6 linked regions of the Coturnix japonica genome follow. The protein of the gene in region 5 interacts with the protein of the main gene of each other region in a pairwise test. Links are inferred from orthologs where the notes say so. Each region holds a gene or a part of one and is shown on either strand. Other genes may lie near its edges.

Region 1 (4,072 bases), on a different chromosome or scaffold from region 5:
AAGAGCCTGAACAAAGCACTGCAGCATCAGGAGCCATCCAATAAAATATCTCTGATGGTTTTATTTGAAGTTTCTGGGGCAAACTGCTTTTGACATAATGCAAGATTAAAATAAAGCACATTAATTTAAATGTGCTTTTAAATTAATTTAAAATTAATTTACGTGTTGGTTGGTTGTTTTATTTTTTTGAAGATCAAACAAAATTTGAAATAAAAGTGTCTTATGGCCTCTAACTATAAATGCATCTCTAAAATAAAAACAGCCTCCCAGCTTAAAAGAGGACACGTTGGAAGAAACTATATGATAAAAGTGAACCAAACATTTGTGATTTTAATATTTTGTTGTGTCTATACAGCAGACATACACAGAACTGATTAATTAAGTAGTTTGTGCTTTCCTCCCAGCCCCATTTGCATACATTATACCTTACAATTCAAGCCATGTGACCACGCTCTGTTTTTCCCAGGACAACCGGCTCATTCAGCACACTGCGTGGTCTCTGACCCACAGCAGCACGAGCGCTGCACACAGAAGGAAGCTGCTATCTGCACATCACGCCATCGAAGATGTTCAAAGAACATGACAATGCAAGATACAGCAACAACCACAGGACCAGAAGGAGCGCAGGTGCTCTGTACGAGCATTATAAACTTGGCAGGCAGCAAGAGACACCTCCCAGACTCGCTTGGCACAGCCATAGGACGCTGTAGAAGAGACATGCACCTGACTTCAGCAGACAGAAGCTCCATCCCTCACAGACAAAAGACTTTCTTCCCTCATCTGCAGCTTCCTGGTCCCAGCCACACCAACATTTAGCACAACAAGCAGCACGTTCTACAGAGAGCGGCTCACAGATGTCAGAAGCAGATAAAAGAATCTGTGCCATGATGCTCTCCTGCCCAACATTTTCTATTGAGAAAGCAGAATTTCAGATTCTGTTGGCCTTTTGGTTTAAGTAAAACTAGTCTGTTTTCACTCCAGTGTCATTCTGCCTGCAGAGCCAAGGAAGGTGGTGCTGATACTGCAATAGTTCTCTTTAGGGACCCAAGCAGACATAGTGGTATCCATTCACATTAAGTACTTTTCCCCTCTGTTTGCAAAAACTAGAAATGGAACTTCAAAATCAGTTTCTGCAGCTACCCATGTATTAGATTGAGCTCTTGTCACTCAGGGAAGCTCCCAGCTTCCACCTGCAAGCGTACATCAACTTTTGTAGTTCCCTTTCATAACTTGGCTCTTTTCCAGCTCATATGTTACCAAGAGAACTGTTAAAATCCTTTATGCCACGTCTCTCACAGTCCGGAAGCACAAGATAGTGAGAAACTACTCTGATTCACAAACCTCAGCCTGAGCAGATAAGGGAGGCAGGCGGCACCTGCAAAACAACTGGAACAGTCATCAAAGAAATCCCTGTGCTGCCACAAGAAAGGAAGCTTGGTAACAACTTGTAAACCATAATATTTCTCTTAAAAGAATGAGAAAATATTTGTATCCGATCCCTTACAAATAACTTTTAGGTAGTTGAGAAATGAGAGGGAAAAAACACAATAATACCTCATTGCTTTGCTTTGGATAGATTTCTATGCATCTTCAGCCACGCTCTTCTCCCCACCCAGTGAGGTGGCTTTGTGACCCCTTTCAGACAGAACCGTTGTTAAATAGAATTCGAAGCTGAGCAGCTCCCATGGTGACAGCTCAGTTCCCCGCAGTTTGGGCTCCTCAGCATCTGGACAGCAATTCCCAGAGGAAATTAATCACAGGAAATCGCTGCATATGCGCTCACGCCTCAGCTCAGTTTACACAAGGAGCCCCATCCCACACAGGCGAGCTCTGGGCCAGCAGCGCTGTCAGAGCGGCCCTCGGAAGGCCATGTCCACTGTCTACCACGGTGCCAGCAGCACGTTTTCGTCTTACAAACCGCTTCAATATTTATTCGTAGCAAAGAAAACACCTTCACACCGCCGTGCGGCGGCTGCTCTCTGTGTTCCCTGGGCTGTCACAAGGGGGCTGCTCTTTTTGTCTCCCGTTCGGCAGCATCGCACCCACAGCCCGTGACGCCGTATCGAGCAGCACGGCGCTGCGGGGCTTCGGTAACCGCGCCATCCCGCCCCGCCCGGAGCTTCGCGGGCCCCGTGAGGGCCCCGACCGCCCGCGAGGAGGAGGGGGCGGCCGTGCCGCGCTGCACCAAGGGGAGAAGCGAGGACACACGGGAGGACGGCGCGGAGCAGAGGAGCCTCCTGGCCTGGCGGGCTGCACAATGGGGAGAGGGCGCAGGCGGCCGTTCTCCATCAGCCGCCCTGTCCGTCAGCTGACCGCCGTAGCGCGGACACCGCCGCCGAGGGCGCGTTGGGACCCGAGGGAGGCGCGGCGGCGGCTCGGGGGGTGTGTGCCGGCGGCCAGGGCCGGAGGGGCGGCACCGCATCCCGCCCCGCCGCCGCCCCACGCCTCCCAGCGCGATGCCGAGGGCGGATGGAGGCGGGGGCGGCCTCCGGGCCCCGCGGCTACGACCGGACTCCGCGTTGCGGCGCGCGGCCCGCCCGGCACCCGCTGACACAATGGGCGGCGCGACCCCGGCCCCGCTTCTCCCCCCGCTCCCCCGCTCACCCCTCCGAGGAGGCTCTCCGCGCCGCGGGGACGACCCGCTGCCGATAGCGGCGGCTCCGGCTGTTCGCTGAGCGTGCGGCCCCGCTGGGCGGGGCGCTCCGTTCCGCGTTCCTCCGGCAACCGCGGCAACGTTATTCCCGGCACATAGCGGCTAACGGGCACAGCCGCGCCGCGCTGCGCAGGCGCCGCCCCAACTCACACAATGCGGGGGGGGCGCGAAGGGCGGACGGCGCCGCGCAGGCGCGGGGGGCAGAGCCGGGGGAAGCGGAGCCGCGCATGCGCCCCGTTCAGACAATAGCGCGGCGGGCGCCGCCCCTCGGTCTGAGCGGGGCCTGCGCCGCCATCAGCCGCTGCGGGAGCGGGGACGTGGGCGGCAGGAGTGCGCAGTGCGCAGGCGCGAGGGCGGCGTCAGCGCCCAGCCACAACAAAGAGGGGAAGGGAAGCGGTGCGGGTCCCCGTCATGGGGAGCGGGTGGGGACTACGCCTCCCAGCGTGCACCGAGCGGCTGGGGGCGGGCTGTGTATCGCGTGTACCGGGGTGCGGCTGGTGGTTGGTGTTGTAGCAACGGGAGGGAGCTCGTGCGAGTAGCGGTTCTTCAGTGCCGCGGGGCAGCGCCGGGAAGTTCGGTGCGCGTCCTTCCTTCCTGGCGGTCGGTGGCGGCCCGATGCGGGCGCCTCGCGGGCAGCCCGCCCTGGAGGAGTCCCTGCAGCGCTACCAGGCGCGGCTCCGAGGTGAGCGCGGCGCTGCGGGCGGGTGAGAACGGGCCGCTCCTGCACGGCCCGGCACCGGGTGGGAGCCCGCCGGCGGTCGGACGCGCTGCGGCTCCTGCCGTGCTGCCGTGTGCTGCTGTGCTGCGCTCCGCTGTAGCGGCCCGAGGTGGCTTTCCTGAGGTTTGGGTTTTTCATCAAGTGCTCGCGGGAGTCGGAGCTTCTAGTGAAATTAGAACGAACTTGGAAGTGTTTTGTCTGGTGAGCTGTGACTGCTGTGACGGGCTGTTTGTCACGAGTTGCAGCTCTCTTGGTGGTTTCTGAGGTGCTCTGTAACGAACTTCACTGAATTATTAAGGTTGGAAGAGACCTGTTGGATCATCCGGTCAGCTGCCAACCTGTCCCCATCATCCCACTAACTGTGTTTCTCAGTGCCGCATCCACGCAATTCCTGAATGCCTCCACCGCCTCCTTGTGCAGCCTGTCTCAGTGCATTACTACTCGTCTTGAGAGTGAATTTTTCTTAATGTCCAACATGAGTCTTCCCCGGTGCAACTTCCCTCTAGTCCTATTACTAGTTATGCATGAGAAGAGGCCAACCCTCTCCTCACTACGATCTCACTTTAGGCAGTTGCTGAGAGTGATGAGGTCACCCCTGAGCCTCCTCTTCTCCACACTAAACAACCTTGGCTGCTCCCTGTTAGATTTGTGTTCCAGACCCCTTACAACTTTGTTGCGCTTCTCTGGACATGCTCCAGGAC
Region 2 (3,500 bases), on a different chromosome or scaffold from region 5:
CAGATGTGATGTTCTTACTTAGTTTAATAAGTGGTTTTGTTCTCTTCTACTTGAAAAAGTCTTTTGCCATCTGTTTTAAACTAAAGCAACTTCTGCACATTTGAAAAAAGTCAGGGACTGAGCTCTGCATATATATAGGCTGAGATGTGAAAGTCTGAGGAAAGGCATGAAAACAAATAGAAAAAAATATACTCACACTGCTGTGAAAAACATCACAAAAAGTGAAAAACATCTTCACAAAAGTAAAAGTCACACTGCAACTCAGCTTTAGCCCTCCTTGATTAGTTCTTCCACCTGCTCATGTTTCCATATTGTTTTTAATTTCAAGTGTGACTTGTTTTGTCCAGAATGTCTCATTGCTGCAACAAATCAATTTATGATTTGCATGTTCCCCAGAGTATCAGTATCTCTTAAAACATTTATAATGTTGGTAAGGAAACAAATTTCTAAGAAAAGCTAATTAACAAGGTGGTTCACAGGCTAAATAATGATTTTTCTAGTCTTTCCTCACTGTGTTTTCTCTAATTGTACTTTTAAGGAGCCCAGAAGTGGAGATGACTCTAGAGCGTGCAGTGAGCATACTGAAGAGTGAAAATACACAGTCAGCACCTCGGATACTTACTGCAGTGACTTTCATACAGCACGAATGCTTCCAGAAAGCAGAAGCCAGAAGAAGAGTAAGTGACTGTTTTTACACAAGTTTTAGTCAGGTAGAGCAAATTACTGTACTGTACCAACACAAGAAAATGCAGTCCAAGAAACATTGCAGGATACTGGTGTTGAATATTTTCCCTAAAATATACTGATGCTTTTTGCTGCAGATTCTTTAAACCAGAAGAGTAATCAGTAGAGTAGCACTGGTCTATGCTAGCAAAAGTCTGGTCTTCAGCATTTTGTGATAGGAAACATGGAAACATAGAGTAAGAAAAGACATCAATAATTCATCTAAACCATTTGCAATTGCAGATGTTTATGATCAACTTTTTAAAAAAGGATACCACAAGCTGCTGAAGACAGTCAAGAATATTTACTATATCCATGCCAGTTATTTGTAAAGTGTAACTAAATCTCCCTTTGCAAACTAAGTTCTTTTCTTGTTCACTTTATCTTGTTTCCACATTCAGCATGAGTTCTTTTCCTCTCTCTCCTAATGCTTTGTTTCCTGTTACCTGATACTTTGTAAGTCTAGTGGCTTTTTTTTTCTTTTAAACATGTGGTCTTACTGTATTTTGGTGGACTTTGTTTACCAGAGAGTAAGACAGGTCAGTCAATAACTTGTAAATTCTCTTCTGCACATGAGGTCCAAATAATACCACTTATCTTGTAAAAGCTGCAACTAAACTTCAAACTACCAACAGAAAGCCTGGATAAATCTTTTTAGTAAAAAACAAATATGCAAACAAAACCCTAAGGTATCCATGTCAAACTGGCTTATCTACTGAAATAAAATGGGTTGATGTGCCTTCAAAGTGTTTTATGCTCCATTTACCTTTAGATATAGACTTCTGTATTTATTTCTATTAGAACGTAGATGATGGTTGGGTGAAAGCAAAATAGATTATATCAGCAATGCTGTAGCGAGAAACTGTGTCTTTTGTACAGCTGGATGAGATGAAAGGTGGACATTCAATGTAGTTTGTCAGGGCATGAAGGTAGCAAAAGGCCCTGTTGCAGTTCATTTCTTCCAGAACCCAATACCTCTCAGTCAAACTGAATTCCTCTTATCATTAAGCTCTGGACTGCTCAAACAGTTGTATTAGGTTTCTAAGTCTTTCACATGCTGTCAGTTCCACACAAATATGTGTTTGTCCACAAAACCACATGGTATTTTTAGATGCTGGAGGAAGCAGTCCTTAATTTTACATGAAAGTAAGGTACTTTCTATAGTAAACTCACTCCTAAATGAGCCAAGGCTTGCTTATACCACATCACAGCTCATGTTGAATTTATCATTTGCTACAACTTGTAGAACTTGGAGACTATATGTTTCCTCCTTAAAGCTGCTGTAAAATAACATCTTAATTCTTCATTCATTTGGGGCCAAAACCCCATTTTCTAAAAATCAGACACTGAAGAGTAGTCTTTGTTACATGTGGGATTCAGTAGTTGAGGAGCTTACAATGTTTAATTGTCTACATTTTGAAGTTAACTATTCTTTTCTCAGTATGCCACAGATAAGTACTAAGTAAAATGCATTTTTACTTAATATATATTCACCACATGCATAGAAGTTGACAGGGAAAAATATTATTTTCCCACCAGTCTGGCTGCCGAGGAAAAAAAACAAAACAAAACAGTTTGGCACATCAGGAATTCATTACATCCAGAAATCTCAAAGCACTTTATGAGTGTTCCAGAGTTAAATCTCAAATATCCATCTCACCAACATGGAAGCTAAAATACAGAGCAATCAAATGTCTTGTCAGAAAGTCAAATCTGTGGCAGAGCTGGCAGTGATTTAGTTTAATTCTCTTGCGTTAATTACTAAAATATGATTCCTCCCTTAGTTGTGGATTTAACTGTGAATCATACAAAAGCCCAGAGGTTAGTATCATGCCCAAGTGATTAATGCTCTGTGATTTAAGTGTTTCAAATATGAAAATGAAATAAATAAATAAATAAATATTCTACAAAAATGCTTAAACTTTTGGCAAGGGAGAGATGGAGTGGAATTTGTCATTATCACTATCTAACCATTCTCTGCTGTTTTCTTTTCTTCACAGGTTTTCTCACTTGGTGGTATCCCCAGACTTATACAGCTTCTTGAGGTTCAGAATGAGGATATTCAGCGAGCAGTGTGTGGTGCTTTGAGAAACTTGGTGTTTGAAGACAATGACAACAAACTGGAAGTTTCCGAGCAGAAAGGGATTCCTGTCTTGCTCCGTTTACTCCGACACACCAAGGATGTAGAAACTAAAAAGCAAATAACAGGTAGTGTTTTCTGTTCATATAAGCATGAAGTGCTTTAAGTAGGACACAAGTGCCTGATTGCTTACTTAGGCCAGTGTTTGGTGTCTTAAGTACAAGAGCACCGTCACCTATTCTGAGTTCTCTTAAGGTGAGATTCCAAGGTCATTACTCAAGACCAACAGCAAGAAAAGACTAGGAACTGAAACCTTCTCTCAAAGCTTCTTCCGAAAAGATGTGTCTCTGCGTTTCTTGCCCTCTACAGCAGCTTAACCCTCCCTGCAGTTCTCGGATTTCCATTCTGGAATCTGTGTTGGATCTGTCCCCCAGAACTGTCAAGGATTGGGTACCAGTTGCACTGCTTCCTTCTTTAAACTCACTCACTTACAGCTGTTTGTACCCCACTCTACCTTCTAAGATGACTGACAAGAAAATACTACCACAGGAACACCATGCTTCCTTTGTGTGCAAGAGAGAGAATTGCTTTATTACGATTTGGTTGTAAAGATACTAGGACACAATCAGTGGTGTGACCTACATTTATAAATCAGTTTCTGTGAAGGTTATATCCTCATCCTTTTGGTTCCAGTTTC
Region 3 (3,970 bases), on a different chromosome or scaffold from region 5:
AGTGTAAAATCAATTGAACAGAACGTCCTCAAGATGGAGACACATCAAATATTAAAATGATACGGAAAGATAGCGCACTCGATCATGGCCAGATCTTAGCCTGTAGTCTGACACTAGGACTGTCAAGACTGTCCTCTTACTTAGGCAGTCAGAAGTTCAAGCTGTACAAGTAATGTGTCCCTTTCTGAAGTTATTCATCACAGCTATGAGTTTTGCATCTTAATTGTTAGGCTACACGAGCACTGTGGCAATTTGTTAGATGTCTGAACACATAGTAGAGGTTCTCAACTCTAGGCTGGGCTATCTTTCTTTTCATATATATACATATACCACCACTTACAGGTCAGCAGACAGTGTATGTGCCTCCCCTGTGCTGGTATAAGTGTTCATGGTCCTCTGGTCTGGCAGAAAAGGGTATTTACAGTGCTGAGGATGAAGACATTACTTGCCAGCACCTGAGAAAAGCAGTGGGAATTTAAGAACACCCTAGTCAGCCTGTGATATAATTTATCTTAATTTTGGGAAGGAAATTGAGAAGTTGGAAGGAAATTTCAGTGGTCATTTCGTACAAAGCAGGAACAAGTCAAATCTGTGCTAATGCTGTTGATGTTGATGTTAGTGCTCAGAAGCTGAGAATGACTGAAAGAGGATGACTGTGCGGTTAAAGCAAGGCCGCCTGACTCAGGAAATCTGAGCTCATTTCCTGGCTTTGCTATCTCTTTAGCTTTGCGCAAGAGATTTAATCTCTCCACTTAGGACTTTTTTTTTTTTTCTTTCTTTCTTTCTTCCTGTACCATAGGGGAACAATTACGCTTCAAGTTATTCTAAGAATAAATCCATTAATGCGACGGGTACATTCAAGTTCAGGCGAGAAGACATACAAAGCCTTTGGCTGTTGCTCCTTATTTTAAAGAAGGCCTTTATTCTGCCTAGGGGGCAGATGTATCAGGGTTCTCACAGGGCCGCACGGTCTACATGCTGGGCTACCTGCAGGCCTATCTGCCTAAGCTCTGACATGCAGCCTGTTGTTCTACCTGCCTAATGGCCCCGTTACGGGGCAGAGCGATGCGCACATCGCACACACCGACGGGAGCGGGCGGGGCTGGAGGGCTGGGCTCGCACCGCCCGCCGTGACGCCGGGTGGGCCGGGGGATGAGGAAGGGAGGCGGCGGGCATGCGTGGAAAGGGCTGAGCGCTCCGGCCCTCCCTCCTCGGGGCCGCCGGGCGGGGCGTTTTGCGGCCGCTACCTGGGTGCGTGGAGCGGCGCGGCTCGGATCGAGGACGGGGCGGCTCCGGCTGTGCCCGGCACGGCGGTGAGTGCCGTGTCCGTCCGTGGCGCTGCGCTGCTGAGCGACCCTCGGAGTCCCTCGGCTGGGGGCGGTGGGTGGCGGCAGGAGGGGGCTGCGGCATCGCCGGCTCCGCAGGCCGTGCGGCTGGAGGCAGGGAGGGGCGGGGAGGGCTCTCCTTGCGGGCTCAGCCGCACCCTCGGGGACGCTGCGTGCCCCAGGTTTGTGCGGGGGGCAGGTAGGAAGCGGCTTTAGGCAAAAAGAACCCGGCGCACGGCTGTTTGAATACAGCAATTAAAAGCAACGCTGAGATGTTCTTCTCCGTGATGTATTTCAGCTGTACCGCGGCTCAGATTTTCCTTGAGCCGTCCGGAGCACGTTAGGCGTGTTGCGCGGTGACACAGCTTTGCTTGCATCACCGTGCCGCTGCCTGCACTTTGACACGCCATGAGCCGCCGGCAGCCGCAGCCCTCAGCTCGCAGCACATCGGCTGCACCGCGAGGGGTGCGTGGGAGCTCGGTGCTGTAGTGCGATCCAGGCCGTACAGCGGTTTGAGGTGAGGACGGGAGCTGTGTTATGCCGGTGCGGGGAGCGGGTTTGTTTCTGTTGTACGTGGGCCTCCAGCCTTGATTTGATGCAGAACAGGAAGTTCTGGCGTTATCACGGTGCTGGAAACACATTGAGATGGCATCCAAGGTCCCTTTTGTTGTGTTTTTATAACGGGGAACGCTAGAGGAATTTCTTGAAACTTGGAAAATATGTTTTCTGTACAGGGTTAGAAGTTGGAAATGCTTCATCATGTTAGTGTGACGCAGTGAGTATTTAATCCTGTTTAGTCATACTGAATGAAACTGACAGTTTCTCAAGCATTTATAGGCTCGCATACCCCTAAATGGTATGGGCCCACCTAGAATGTAATACTTCCAAGCTGAAGAGGTGTCACCAAGCAGATGGTAAGCTGGGATCTGTGTCAGCATACAGCTTGCAGCAGCTACAATGTAAGTTTAATCTTTGCTCATAGTCAACACCTTTCAGAATAGCGATCTCTATGTCTGCGCTCCAGAAATGGCTGAGTGGTGTCTTTAATCATAAGGCTGCTTTAAAAAGTAGGAATGTTTAGGGTTTTGGAGGGTTCTACAGTTACTTTTTGTGCATCATGACACCTTGTGTTTCTGAATTTAATAATTAATATGTATGACTATATGAAACATGAATAGTAATGACCACAATTAACATGATGGTCTCAATTAACATGGTGTTATACTAAGAAGTAATCCTGTTTAATGGAACTGCTCGTGTAAAAGCTTGCTGGAGTAAAACCTATTAGTTTTGGACCTGATCATCCTTTAAGATGGATTGGTTATTTGGAGTAAACCAGTTGCAAAGAAGAGCTGGCACAGGCATTTCTCTACATAAAGTCATCACACCTTCGGTCGTCAAAAGAACATTGTTTGTCTGCAGTTGTTAAAGAATGTAGGTCTGTGGGAATGGAGGAGACAAGAGGGAGCGAAAGGTTACAGCTGTGGCTGTGGTGTTTCCTTTTTGCCACTGTTGTGAATTGTAAACTGCCATCGCCTTAATTAGAAGCTTTCAAGCAGGATTAAATTCTTTGCCAACAAGGATGCTAACAAGATGAAAATACTAATGGTGGTTTTGATAATTAGGTTTAAAATCCTGTATTGTGATTCAATTGAAGCAATACAGAGGCTTATGTAAATCTCTGTATAACTGAACGTGTGTATGTTAAAATGAAATCAGAACAGCATTAAAGTAATTATTCCAAAGGTGAAGCCTTAGTCAGTGTAGGTCTCTGTATTTCTTCTTACCTCTGGGACACATATTGAATCTCAATTCAGAACTTCTGTCAAATTAGATGCAGTTTTGAGGATGCTCAGATCCTACCATTCTTAGCTTAAAGCAGCTTGATTCACAGAGCTGGGTTTTACTTTCTAGCTATTTTCCCTCTGTTCTGAAGGGGGGGATTCAGCTGGAACTCTTCTATTGACAGTACTGTATAGTGAGACAAGAATCCTGGGGCTGGGGGGTGTGTTTCTCTGGTTATGTGGGGAACTGGTGACACAAGTTCTCAGTGAAATGCCTTTTTCACAGCACAGTTTGTTGGGATTTTCATGTGCTCTTAGTCCATGATGATTTGAGGTAGTGTTCTGCAGAGTGCATTTTAATGGCTTTGATTGAAGAGGAAGCATGGCTACTGCTGGCAGTGTTTGCTCTGCTTGCATTGCCTTAGTTTTCTAGCCAGAGGAAAACAGCTGGTGAGATTTTACTTTAATGTGGTGGTTGAACAAGTTTGGGGTCTGGAAGAACCCTTTAATTGCAAACAATTTCTGACTTGCAAAAGAACTCCTATGTTTTAGGCTTCGTTGGCCCAGATGGCTTGTGGCACACTCAGCATAAGTTAAGCTGAACATCATGGGAGTGTGTCCCTGAGTATCCTGGGTTCTCTTGGCTCAGAAATACCACGTGTGGTTTGGGCTCTGTATAGATAGAAAGATTCCCAATAGACTATGAATTTGTGTGATACTTGGTTTCAGTTTGTGAATCATATTAATGATAGAAATACATGTAAGAAAAACTAGACTTTACATAGTAATACTATTACATAGGCTTGTTAATCAGTGTTTTTTGATGAGTTGAGTTCTTGCTTCCAGCTAACATGCATCTCA
Region 4 (3,500 bases), on a different chromosome or scaffold from region 5:
TGGGCTCACTGAGGGTTCCTTTGTATGTTCTTGAAGAGGAGGGATAAAAGCTAAATCCTTGGGAAATGACCAGATGTGCCTATACCAGTAGACTTATGTCTGTAGTAGGCCCAGAGGTCATGTTAAACAAATACAATTTAGAATTAAAAAAAAAAATAAACGGCTGTCCTTGTGCCTTTACAGTCATGCTGTAATGTTGGTTGGGAAACCCACCTTCTGAAACAAAACCAGAGTTCGAGCAGAGTGAGCTTGCTAAAATACCGTGCTAGTACAGAAGATGATGTCCTTTATCTGGAGGGGGGAAAAAAGGGGGAAAAAGAAGAAAAAAAGAAGGGGGGGAAAAAAAAAAGGGGTGGTGACTGGAGTGCTCACACAGTGCTCCCTGCTGGGTGATTTGTAGATCGCCACTCAAAGCGAACGAGAGCGCTGCCAGCAAGGTGGGTCGTGGTAGCTTAACAGTGGGTGAGATCTTGTCATTGCTGATCTAAGTTTGGGTGTCATTGTACAGCAGATGAAAATAATAATTCCAATGTCACAAACTTTAGTTTATTTGTACATAGGTGTAGCTGGTTGTATCGTTCGTTGAATGCGTATTTTCCAAACGTTTCCTGTTGGGAAAAATAGATTTTTCCCAATTAGGTTCTTAACCTGTGCTATTAAAATAGTACTGGTTTTGTATTCTGGTTTGCAGTTGTTGTGCACTTATGTTTACTCAGTGTCAGCCCCAGAGCTGAGGCTCCATGTATCCATATACAGACAGGGTGTAGGTACAGCACACTGTTACTATTGCATACTACATACTTTTTTCCACGCTTCAAATTGCACAAAATTGGTCTGGGTAAAGTCAAATTTGTCCTCATTTCTCACTGATAATGTTGCTTCTGTTTTCACATATAGCTCTATTTGCTAGTCCTATTTTGTAACATATACTTTAGCATTACTCATTTTCGAAACTTCAGGGACTGTGTTGTGTCACCATGACTTTTTACCGAAAGAAGAAAAACTTTGTGTTCATGAAAGATAACATCCCTGTTTTTATCTTAGTTTTAGGAATGCTTAAATCGCTACACCAACTTCAGGTTGAAAACAGGAGGTTGGAAGAGCAGATCAAGAATCTGACCGCTAAAAAGGAACGGCTTCAGCTTCTCAACGCGCAGCTTTCAGTGCCCTTCCCAACACTGACTTCAAATCCCAGCCCCTCTCATCAAGTACATGCCTTTCCTGTACAAGCAGGTAAGTGGAGTATGGAAGTGTGGAAGCGATTAGAGTGATTTATACAAAATAATGGCACATGCCATTGATGGAAGGTATTATGAGAACAGAATAAGCAGTTCTTGATGTGGGGATTAAAAAAAATACCTCCGATGTTTAAAATCAATTGGAAAACATGTATAAATTTATAAATTACTTGATTCGGCACGGCTTTTTTGTCTTTTAGTTTTTCAGACTGAAGTAGTCTGAAGCACATCTGCTTGAATCTATTGATTCACTAATCATCAAGTTAATATTTCACTGTTCAGCAGTCATTCTGAGGTTGACTTTACATTTTCTGTGTTTGCCTCTGGCATTATTTGGAAATAATTATTCAGAATATCTCTTTATGTGCTGCAGAAATGTAATCGCTGTATGTTTTTTTGCAATGATTGCTTTAGCACCAAGCACGGATTCCTTGAACAGCAGTAAAAGCCCTCATCTGGGAAACAGTTTTTTACCGGACAATTCTCTTCCCGTGTTAAATCAGGTAATGCTTATTTCTTTCGTCTAAATTTAAAGTTATTACAAGTTTAACTCATCGTAGTCTTTCTGTTTTGCTGCAATGTGAAGTTTTAAGCAGCTGAGAGGGTTTTGCTGTTTGTTTTTACACCAGGAGATAACCTCCAGCGGACAAAGCACCAGCAGTTCATCAGCTCTTTCCACTCCACCACCTGCTGGGCAGAGTCCAGCTCAGCAAGGCTCAGGAGTCACGGGAGTTCAACAGGTCAATGGTGTGACAGTGGGGGCACTAGCTAGTGGTATGCAGACTGTAACCTCCACCATTCCTGCAGTGCCTGGTGTGGGTGGAATAATTGGAGCGCTGCCAGCCAGCCAGCTGGCAATCAATGGAATTGTAGGGGCTTTAAATGGGGTAATTCAGACCCCAGCAACAATATCACAGAACCCTTCTCCTCTCACTCATGCAACGGTGCCACCCAATGCAACGCATCCTCTGCCAACTACATTAAACAACAGGTAAGAATTTGCTGATTTATCTGTTTCTCGTTAGTGTCTCCTGTTCTTCAGTTTAGCTTTATTTTTTAGCTGTCTCTATAAAGAAGGTACGTTTCCTTCTTCAGCCTGCAGTTGTCAAACTGATTTGGGAAAGAAAGTAAGCAGAAAGGCGAAGCATGAACAGTCGTGTTAAAGATGTTTTCTGTTCAGCTTTTATGAGTCAGCGTCATGTCCTTTTATTTGTTGTCTTTTCTTTTTTTATTTAATATTCATGTTCTAAAACAAATGTAAATATACAGATGCGTTTCAGATCTATTTTTAGTTCAGAAAACAATGTTCTTTGTCTTGCCAATTCTTCTTCCAGGATTCAAGTAACACGGGGAGAGCTACCGTTTGTTGTAGGGGTGGAGGGGAGGGAGAAGGGGATCAGAATACGGTCATGTAGTTAGCGAGGGAACAGGCGCAAATAACCAGAGCAGCGCTACACCTACATGGGGATTTTGGTGTCTATCCCCAAATTAGTTTTTCAAGACATTTTCTAAACGATTTTTAAATGTGTAAAAAGGTCTGTGTCTGAGCATTCATGACTACCCTTTTGCTAAACGCAGACAGAACTGCTGCTTGAAGTGCAAGGTAAACGCGTAACAAAAGGAAAGAACTGCTTTCCAGGAAGGCTTTGGGCTGCTTGGTTTGGAAGTGTTTTGGGGTAGAGCAGAGCCAGGAATAGCTGATTCATGAACTCCTGATAACTCCTGCTTCCCTTCCCCCCATCCCTCGCACTGCCTTTGCTTAGGAAGGAGAAACACGTCTATCTGTAGGAAAAAATGCCTGCAAATAGGGAGTGAATTACTTGTCTTTGAGTTTATTTTTGGAGATTATGTTGGATTACCCCCAAAAAGGGAACGTGATTGGAATGGTGCAAGGGATTCCTGATTCTGAAGCTGCCTATTCTGGTTTCTTTCCTCACTGTTCCTTTGGCACTTCGTGAATGTTCTTGTACCGTGTTGCTGCCTGGTATCATTTCGGTAGGCTTGTCAGACCTGAAACTAATGTGTGTCTTTAGATGCTGCAGTATTTTTACTGAGGTGATTGTGGGTTGATTTTGTTATTTTTTTAGTTTATGTTGTATATGAACATAGAATTTCATAGATAAGGCAACAGACGGTTCCTTAAAGAGAAGATATTTTCTTTTTATTTATTTATTTTCTCTCTTGTATATCAGGGTTCTTGGAATACGAGAATTTTCATTTACCTTCCCCAGAAGTGTAAGGGGAAAGTCTTAGCAAAGTCAG
Region 5 (3,966 bases):
GTAATGAATTCTGAGTGGGCATCCACATGAGCCTGCTCTCATTTTCCCTGGAAGACGCTGCTGCATTGTCTTGTCTGCTCCTGAAAGCCCCAGTGTTGTTTGTCAAAGGCCCGATTCTGCAAATGCCACGTATACAGAGGAGCTTCTGAATGGGAAGGGCTTGTGCTGGGCTCAGCTCTGCACAATGCCTGCAGCCAATGCAGCCAACAGTGCGCTCAGCACGGCGCTTTGTATCCAGCTCTTGGCATGCCGTGGGCATCCACTGTCCCACGCATGGTCAGGGTTGTGTTAGATTCTCTTAGTGCTGTGGAGCTGCTTTTTGCCCCACTATGGGCAACGGATGGCAGAAGGGAAAGGTGCAGGTTGGGAGCTGTCTGTGTCTCCTAACCCTCAAAGCAGTATTTATGGTTCTGACCAGCTGTGGATGATGTGAGCCTGCTCTCATCTTTCTCTTGTCCCCCAGGCATGGGAGAGAAGACAGACAGTAAAAGCTTGTCTGCAGGAGTGCTTAGCTGGCATGTTGGCATGAGCATCGGATGGAGGTGTTTCTGTAGTGAGGTTGGTGGATCAAAACTCAGTGGTGGCAGCATTAGGTGTGATGGAAAACACGGAGCGTGGGGAGCTGTGAGCTGTTGCTGTATGATGAGATGGACAAGGCTGGGGCACTGCCTATGGCAGGTCTGCTCTGTCCCTCTGGGAGGTGGCTTTGGAGGAAGAGTGGGGCTCTGATGAACATGGGGGTCCCAGCACTGCTGGCTGCTGGCTGCTGCTTGCAGGGTGTTGGTTCCAAGGGTGTGTCTTGTGCAAGCAGACAGGAAGGAGTCTTGGACCCAGACACACGTTATCGTGGCTGCTTCTAGGAAATGATGTAAGGCACTTCCTCGTACTGACTTTTCTCTGAATTCAGCTTGATGGGTGGTTCCTTGGTTGTTTACCTTTAGACACAGCTGTGGGGCTGACCCTGTTCAATGCGGTGCTTCATTTAATGAGGTGAAAAAGTGATTCTGGCTGACTTGAGAGTGCCAGCTGAGAGCCAAGAGCCTTGTGACTTCTGCTGAGGTGGTTTCAATGTGATTGGTGTGGGACTGATGTTATGGACAGCACGCAGCAGTAATCAACTGCTCACCTCTTCCTCAACCCACAGATCTGCATAGCAGTTCAGGAGCTGCTTGACGTGTGCCTGAGCCACAGCAGATGTCTGCCTGCCTTAATGCATCAGCCTGTGAGACACTGGCAGCTCAGGAGGTGATTCATGGGCTCTGCATCCACTGTAAACACAGCTGATTTGTTCCTGTTGTCATTAAACTGCCTTGGTAACAGGTGCAATAACTGAAGCACATACACCCCAAGAGATTTTCATCTGAAGAGATACAGCAGGACTGTGGTGCTGGGGGGAATGGTGGTGCCTCCTATTGTTTTATTCTCAGCTCAGGGCCGTGTAGAAAAGGAGGCATGGTCAGTTGGCTCAGGCAGCATGAAGGCCTGGTTCGTCACAGAGTGCTACTGCAGCACAGCTGTAAGTTAAGTAAAGACAGAGAGAGAGCTGAGGGTTTTTGGATGTACTGAGCACCCTGCAGGTAAGGTTGGTTTCATGCCCTGGGTTGTAGCAGCTGCAGAGCAGTGTGCCAGTTTGGCTGTGCTTTAGGTGTGAGCCAGAATGGATGGGCTGCTGTGCCCTCTGATGGGAGTGCTGTCATCATATTGTCCCACTTCTGGGTGTCTCAAATGTGGGTCACTGAGATGCAGAGCATGACAGTGTGACACTTTCAGGCCTGGAGGGACAGCATTGGCTATTGATGACTGTCAGTATGTGAAAGTCAAGGCTTCTAGGTCATCTGCAGTGATTAATCTGCTGTGACGAGCTTGGTACAAACATTGTTTAAAGCCTCTGCAACAGAAGTGAGTTTCAGCTTATTCTTTTCTGGAGATTTATGATCTATTTTAAATGGTGTTTTCTGGAGAGGAAGAAAAAAAATGGCTACCTGTGAGTAAGAGGGAGCTTGGAAATGGAATGGAGCTGCCTGGGGCTGGGAGCTGGGCCTGGCTGAGTGTATCCCTGGGTGCTGCAGTGAGTGCAGGTCCACCACCAGCACTGCTTCATCCTCATCGTCATCTTCAGTAACATCTGAGGTCTGGTGTGTGGGGTGCTCTCGTGTGCAGTCATAGTGAACAGTGTTTGTACTATGCACTGTAGGAAAAACCTTTTACAAATCCAAGTGGAAACTGTGATAGCTGTAAATCATTACCCCTGGTGGTCCTAAATGAGCCAGTGGCTTTAACTGCTGTTTCCATGGTCGGTGAATGATACAGCCCAATTTTGTGGTCTCTTTTTCAGGCTGCTGCATGAGCGTTTCCAGAGGTTGGAGACCATGATGTTACTTGTTGCAGCTGGTCTTTGCTCAGAGGTGGCTGTTAGGAATCATTAACATTCTGCAGGCCAGTCTCAAGTCTGTTTGCTCCTGACAGGCCACAGCTTTGAAGTACAGCAGCAGTGGGGGGTTACTCTGCCTGCCTCATCATACTAAGCGTTTTCTTATGTCTGCATCCTACAGGTCATATTGAACATGGACAGTGAGGAAATTCCAACCTTCTCAAGTCCAAAAGAGGAAACTGCCTATTGGAAAGAGCTTTCCTTGAAGTACAAACAAAGGTACTGTTGGATATTTTCAGAGTGGATTTGGTTCTAGATGACTGAGAATGTAGCTTAATCTATTTCTCTGCTAGACTTTAATCAAAATGAGCATTAGATGTATTAAAATGAATCTCACCATTTCCAGCTTTAGGTGCAGCTTTTAGATCCAGCCTTGTGCAGGCTGAGTATTTCATTCTCAGTGTTACTATGCCATGAACTCAAGACTGAGCACGTTAGAGCAGGAGAAGAGCTCTTCTATGATCATGTGTATGTTTGTATAATTAAAATGCTGTCTTAAGTACTAGCTTGATGTTTTGCAGTAGGAAGACTGCCTGTGGGTTTGCCTGGTATCATTACTGTTCCCTCAGGCTTCTTGCACTTGGTCTGAGAAGTTTCTTATTTGGTAGCTGGCTGCAATATGTTGAAGCACATTCATTATAGCTCATAGTTCTGCCTGTGTTTGCCTCTGCCATCTTTTAAGGGGAGCAGAAGGCTTTTTGGTTACAAAAAGTGGCAAGAGAACTTGTTGTCTTGTGTGCTGCTTGTGGTTTGTTGTGGGGAGGGGAGTCAGTAGTGGTGGTTTCCTGCTCATTGCCTTTGGAGAGCTTTACTTGCACTCTATGTTAGTGTGCAATAGAAGCAAAGCCAGCTAAACCTCTCTCAAGTCCAAGGAGCCCAGTGTGCAAGCTGTTGTTTTGTTTGGGTCTGTTTTCTGGGTGTAGGGAACAGAGGGTGGGCATTTGAGATCCCTGAGCTGTATGAGAAAAGTCTGTCAGGTCTCTCTGAGGCCAATGAATATGTAGCTTCCTAAATATCATCAGTTTTCTCTGCTGGTTGCAAAGAGTTGAGCTATTACGTATGGTAAAGATGAGAGTGTAATTAGTGAAATATGTGGAGTTGCTGCTTCTAGTAATTTAATACCTTGCAGTGGCATAAGGTGGGTAAATGCTGGCTTCCTACCAAAGCACTTAGTAACCCTGAGATCCAAACCTTAATGCTTTCCAGCAAACTTATATTTCCAGGTAGTGCTGAGATGCAGTGACTATTGTTCTGTGCTGGTTTTTGCCTAAAGCAGGTTAAAAGCTTTACTTAGTGACTCTCTCAAGGCTGCTAGAGTGAAGGCTAGTGGGGTACCAAGTGTCAGACTTGCAGGAATCCTGGAAATAGCCTTGATATAGGTTGTATTTGCATGTGTATTGAATAGAGTTATTTGATATAAAGGGCTGAATTTCCATTTGTAGGTAAACAATGCAGTTTCTCTGTTTCCCCCAGTTTTTACTTTCCCTGTAGAGGTCCCTGGTTAAGTACTTTAAAACTCTTGGTGCTTTTTCACC
Region 6 (3,926 bases), on a different chromosome or scaffold from region 5:
GTATTAGTGCAGATTTAACTTTGTATTTCCAGTGCTAACACCTAAACTGCTAACTTCTTAGTTACCTACTCACACTGGCAGAGATAGAGAATTGCATTTTCCAGAGGCAAGAGGCATCATCTCTTAGCACAGGGTGGGGTTTGGGTGAGGCTAAAGGAAGTGATACAGCTTTCTTCTCTTTCTCCTCCAGCCTGGCAGAGCTTTTACCTCCTCAGTGCCTGATAGGAGAGCTGGGAAGCTACAACCATGTCAGATGCTGAGAGCCTGGCCCATTTCTCTGCCTGGGTGGAGGAGAATGCTCCACCTCTTCAGATGCTCTTTGATGTGTATGTATATGCATAAACACACACACATACATATATATGTATATATATACATATGAAATAGGCTTTACCTGACAGATTCCACATCTGGCAAGGTGAGGGAAAAGGTCTATCTGGTTTCTGCTCCTTGTAGTGTCCAAGTAGGCTGGGATTTTCTCATCAGAAGACCATTCATTTCCATTTTTGCTTCTTCACCTGCTCTGACACAAGCTGGTAATAGACACTGGACACTTCTGGTAATAGAAGTCTAACCTTCAGTGCTTGTTGTATTCTACTTATTATTTTGGAGCTTTACCAAAATGATAGGAAGGAATGCACGCAACAGAAGGTGATTCTTAACATTTGGTAAGACATTCCAAGGATAAGGAAAAGCCACTTCACAAGGCCAAGGTAGTTCTTTCCCTCTTCCAAATTAAGGAATTAGAAAGACCTTCAGAAAGACTTGAAGAATTCGAGCTAATGGAGAGCAGTAAACATAATTAAAAGTAATGGGCCAGCTAATGGTGGCTGTTAACACCCTTCATAACTTGCTATTATTTGTTCATAATATTTGTCTTAGTGTCTTATACTTTAATATTACATTTCCTAGTATTTTTGTGTCTTACTTTTAGTTCCGTTTACACACAATTCTCACAAGTCTATTGTGCAAAATAAGGTTGATATACAAAAGAATGGCAGGTTTCTGTACTCTCTTCAATCTTTCACGATCATTAATTAATTTCTTTAATTGCGAGGTATGAAATAACTCATTTTCAATTCATTATCAACAGAAACTCAGAAACAGTTCTGACCCTTCTTAGAAACATGCTCCCTGCAGCGAGCAACTTCCGATGTTGTTTGAACGCAGCCAAAGCAGCCAATCCCTGCAGCCACCCGACCGGCGTTGCGCTCTCATTGCAGGCTGGGAGGACCCGGCGTGGAGCAGCGGCTAATCAGCGCTCTCCGGATGAGCCACCGCCTGGGCGTGCACAACGGCTGCCGGTGCAGCGGTTGCTTCGAATAACGGCGGTGAGCAGCGGGATCGGGTGGCGGTGGTGGTTCATCGTAGGATCTATTGACGGTGAGGGGTTGGGGGCAGGAGGGTCGGGCTGAGCTGTTTGTCCCTGCGTCTGTCGGCAACGGAGCGATTGGAAGCGCTGAGCTCTGCAGTGTTGCTTTGCAGAACGCGTGGAGGGTGAAGCAAAGCTGCAGGCTGAAATTGCACTGTTGCTGTACGAATGGCTTTTGAATCTTCTCTTAACTGAACAGAAACGTGTTAGAATAAGACCTAATGTTAGAAGCTGGCAGCTTGCTCAGGAGGCTTGCAAGGTGGTAACTGTAACCACTGCTGTGTTAAAAAGTAGATGTACTGAAAGGTAAACGTGCGAGAGTCAAATAATCCTCCTCTTTAAGTCTAATTGTCGTTGCCTTTGTTTTTCAGGCATTGTTACCACGTGTTTTGTAGAGGAAAAGCCCGGTCAGCATGAGCTGGGTTGTGGAGGAGTGGAAAGAAGGCCTGGCCCCCCGAGTCCTGCAGAAGATCCACGAGCTGGAGAGTCAGGTAGACAAGCTGAAAAAAGAACGTCAGCAAAGGCAGTTCCAGTTAGACTCTCTGGAGGCAGCTTTGCAAAAGCAGAAACAGAAGGTAATGTGGGTACTGTGCTAACTTCCCTAAAGTGCCATTCTGCAAGTAACTGTGTGAAGCTTTGTTATCTGATTGTTGTTAGAAGATGATTGATTTTCTGTTCTTCATACTGACTGACTGGAAGGTACCATGGAAATATAAGCTGCTTCTCTTCATTGCTTTCTCTTAGCTGTTTGTCGTATCCTGCTCTTTATCAAGTTTTGATTGCATTTATGCCTCCTGTCAGTATTTGGAATGGTTGTCCATCTCTAAATGTGTGCTTACTGTGAGGCTTTTCCCCAGGCTTTATGTTTAAGAAAATGTTACCTTATTATGCCTGTTAAGAATCTAGGCCTCTTACATGAGAGTGACACAACAGATGGCCTCTGTTTCATATTGTCTCTGTATGCTTACTTGTCCATTTTGTTACTTTAATTTACATGCATCTCAGATTTCTACTTAAATATCTGTGTTTGGGGATTTCTTTCTTTCTTTCTTTTGCTTTAGGGCTGGGATTTTTTCTTCTCTGGCTTTACCTTGTCAGCCCTCTAGCCAAGAAGCTGGCAACCCTCATAACCTGAATTCTGCCTTGCAACATTAGAATACAAGTTAGATACAGTTGCAAAAGTTTGTCTTTTATTCCTGTTTGGCTGATACAATTTTCTAGCAAAACTCAAGCTTAGTTTTCCTAGGTTATTGTTATTTTTTCCCTTCCTGTGTGTTTCCTAGTAGGGTCTGAACTTCTGTGCTCTCTAAATGGGAGGTGGGGAGGGGGAAATACTGAAAAGAATGGGTATATTCAAATAAATGTGTTTTAAATCTTACTCAGAAGCAGCAGCAAATACTTTTCAGATGGAGGCAAAGGTGAGAGGAGTTCTGGTGTCCTTCTTCCTGGTAGTTACTGCCGAGCAGCAGGTGGCTGTATGACTCAGAGGCTGGAGGAGAGGAGAAGGAAATCTCTGTTGTTAGGCCCTATTTCTGACACAAACCTGCAACCTTTTAAAATGATAACACAATTTCCCTTTAGTTAGTAAGAGTATTCTGATTGCTAAGGCTTAGAGGATGGAAAGAGAAATGAGACAATCGTTGAAGTCTGCAAGCTGTTGTAGACCGCTGTTTAAGAGCTAATGAGTTTTTGATGTGATGATGTCTAGTCAGTAAATTGGGTATTAATGTGTCTGAGTTGAATTCTAAGAACTGTGCTTTTGTTTAAACCCAGGATGTTTTGAAAGTTGTTTTTGGCTGTTTTTGATCTGATGTTTTCAGAGCTGATAGGGTTTGGAAACATAGGGAAGAAAATAAGTGTGTGAACTGCAATTATTTTAAGTCAAGATGCGTAGATAAGATGTTAAGCATTTTGAAATGTTCTTTATTCCAACTAGGTTGAAAATGAAAAAAACGAAACTGCAAGTCTAAAGAGAGAGAACCAGAGCCTGATGGAATTGTGTGATAGTCTTGACAAAGCAAAGCAGAAAAATTCACATGATCTTCAAGTAAAAGAATCTCAAGTCAACATTCTGTCTGGGCAGCTGAGTTCTAGCAAAAAAGAAATTGAAAGATTGGAACAAGAACTGAAAAGGTAGAGTGAGAACTTCTTTGTTTTTTTCCTAACTTACAGTCAGTTATTTTCTCCTGTTTTCCTCTTTTCATGTAGCTTTTATGGTCTTTCAGTTTGTCTTCATCTTACATGTTCAAATATTGTGGCCAGAATTACAGTACTTCACCCTGTTTTTACATATGCCTATGTGAGCTGTATGTTGATATGTGTGCAGCTTGAAGCAGTGATTGCCCATTGTTTGCCCCCAGTTTGGGGTTAATTCTGCCACCTTCTTATGAGAAAAGGTAACATCTGCATTAGCAAAAAGAGTACAGCTGAGTTACTTGGCAAAAGTATACTTTGCAAAGGGCTTGGAGTTGTAACAGAAGTGCATGGATAACTTAAGATCAAGTCTACTTAAAATTATGACAGCAGGAAGAAGGGGTGGGCATTTCTTGGTGTG

The links.
Region 1: the proteins of NDEL1 (region 5) and CEP170 interact in a two-hybrid assay, tested with the Homo sapiens proteins (2 studies listed by BioGRID and IntAct). The link is inferred for Coturnix japonica from reciprocal best matches to the Homo sapiens genes NDEL1 and CEP170.
Region 2: the proteins of NDEL1 (region 5) and PKP2 interact in binary tests that used the Homo sapiens proteins (3 or more experiments, as listed by UniProt). The link is inferred for Coturnix japonica from reciprocal best matches to the Homo sapiens genes NDEL1 and PKP2.
Region 3: the proteins of NDEL1 (region 5) and CCSER2 interact in binary tests that used the Homo sapiens proteins (3 or more experiments, as listed by UniProt). The link is inferred for Coturnix japonica from reciprocal best matches to the Homo sapiens genes NDEL1 and CCSER2.
Region 4: the proteins of NDEL1 (region 5) and MLLT10 interact in a two-hybrid assay, tested with the Homo sapiens proteins (2 studies listed by BioGRID and IntAct). The link is inferred for Coturnix japonica from reciprocal best matches to the Homo sapiens genes NDEL1 and MLLT10.
Region 6: the proteins of NDEL1 (region 5) and CENPF interact in binary tests that used the Homo sapiens proteins (3 or more experiments, as listed by UniProt). The link is inferred for Coturnix japonica from reciprocal best matches to the Homo sapiens genes NDEL1 and CENPF.

The regions. Positions count from the first base shown.
Region 1 is NC_029518.1:31,700,099-31,704,170, reverse strand, and holds the start of CEP170 (centrosomal protein of 170 kDa), read right to left. Parts: upstream 2,801-4,072; 5' UTR 2,605-2,800; intron 1,669-2,604; exon of another isoform or gene 1,555-1,668; intron 1-1,554. Other genes in the region: SDCCAG8 (serologically defined colon cancer antigen 8), read left to right, coding at 3,269-3,335.
Region 2 is NC_029516.1:53,608,103-53,611,602, reverse strand, and holds part of PKP2 (plakophilin-2), read left to right. Parts: intron 1-538; coding exon 539-677; intron 678-2,723; coding exon 2,724-2,931; intron 2,932-3,500. UniProt on the Homo sapiens protein: A component of desmosome cell-cell junctions which are required for positive regulation of cellular adhesion.
Region 3 is NC_029521.1:365,879-369,848, forward strand, and holds the start of CCSER2 (serine-rich coiled-coil domain-containing protein 2), read left to right. Parts: upstream 1-1,170; 5' UTR 1,171-1,313; intron 1,314-1,623; exon of another isoform or gene 1,624-1,842; intron 1,843-3,970. UniProt on the Homo sapiens protein: Microtubule-binding protein which might play a role in microtubule bundling.
Region 4 is NC_029517.1:16,242,568-16,246,067, reverse strand, and holds part of MLLT10 (protein AF-10), read left to right. Parts: intron 1-1,044; coding exon 1,045-1,233; intron 1,234-1,652; coding exon 1,653-1,741; intron 1,742-1,867; coding exon 1,868-2,229; intron 2,230-3,500. UniProt on the Homo sapiens protein: Probably involved in transcriptional regulation. In vitro or as fusion protein with KMT2A/MLL1 has transactivation activity. Binds to cruciform DNA.
Region 5 is NC_029533.1:1,496,566-1,500,531, forward strand, and holds the start of NDEL1 (nuclear distribution protein nudE-like 1), read left to right. Parts: upstream 1-1,166; 5' UTR 1,167-1,194; coding exon 1,195-1,245; intron 1,246-2,552; coding exon 2,553-2,650; intron 2,651-3,966. UniProt on the Homo sapiens protein: Required for organization of the cellular microtubule array and microtubule anchoring at the centrosome. May regulate microtubule organization at least in part by targeting the microtubule severing protein KATNA1 to the centrosome.
Region 6 is NC_029518.1:18,505,964-18,509,889, reverse strand, and holds the start of CENPF (centromere protein F), read left to right. Parts: upstream 1-1,126; 5' UTR 1,127-1,331; exon of another isoform or gene 1,332-1,383; intron 1,384-1,743; 5' UTR 1,744-1,785; coding exon 1,786-1,947; intron 1,948-3,308; coding exon 3,309-3,505; intron 3,506-3,926. UniProt on the Homo sapiens protein: Required for kinetochore function and chromosome segregation in mitosis. Required for kinetochore localization of dynein, LIS1, NDE1 and NDEL1.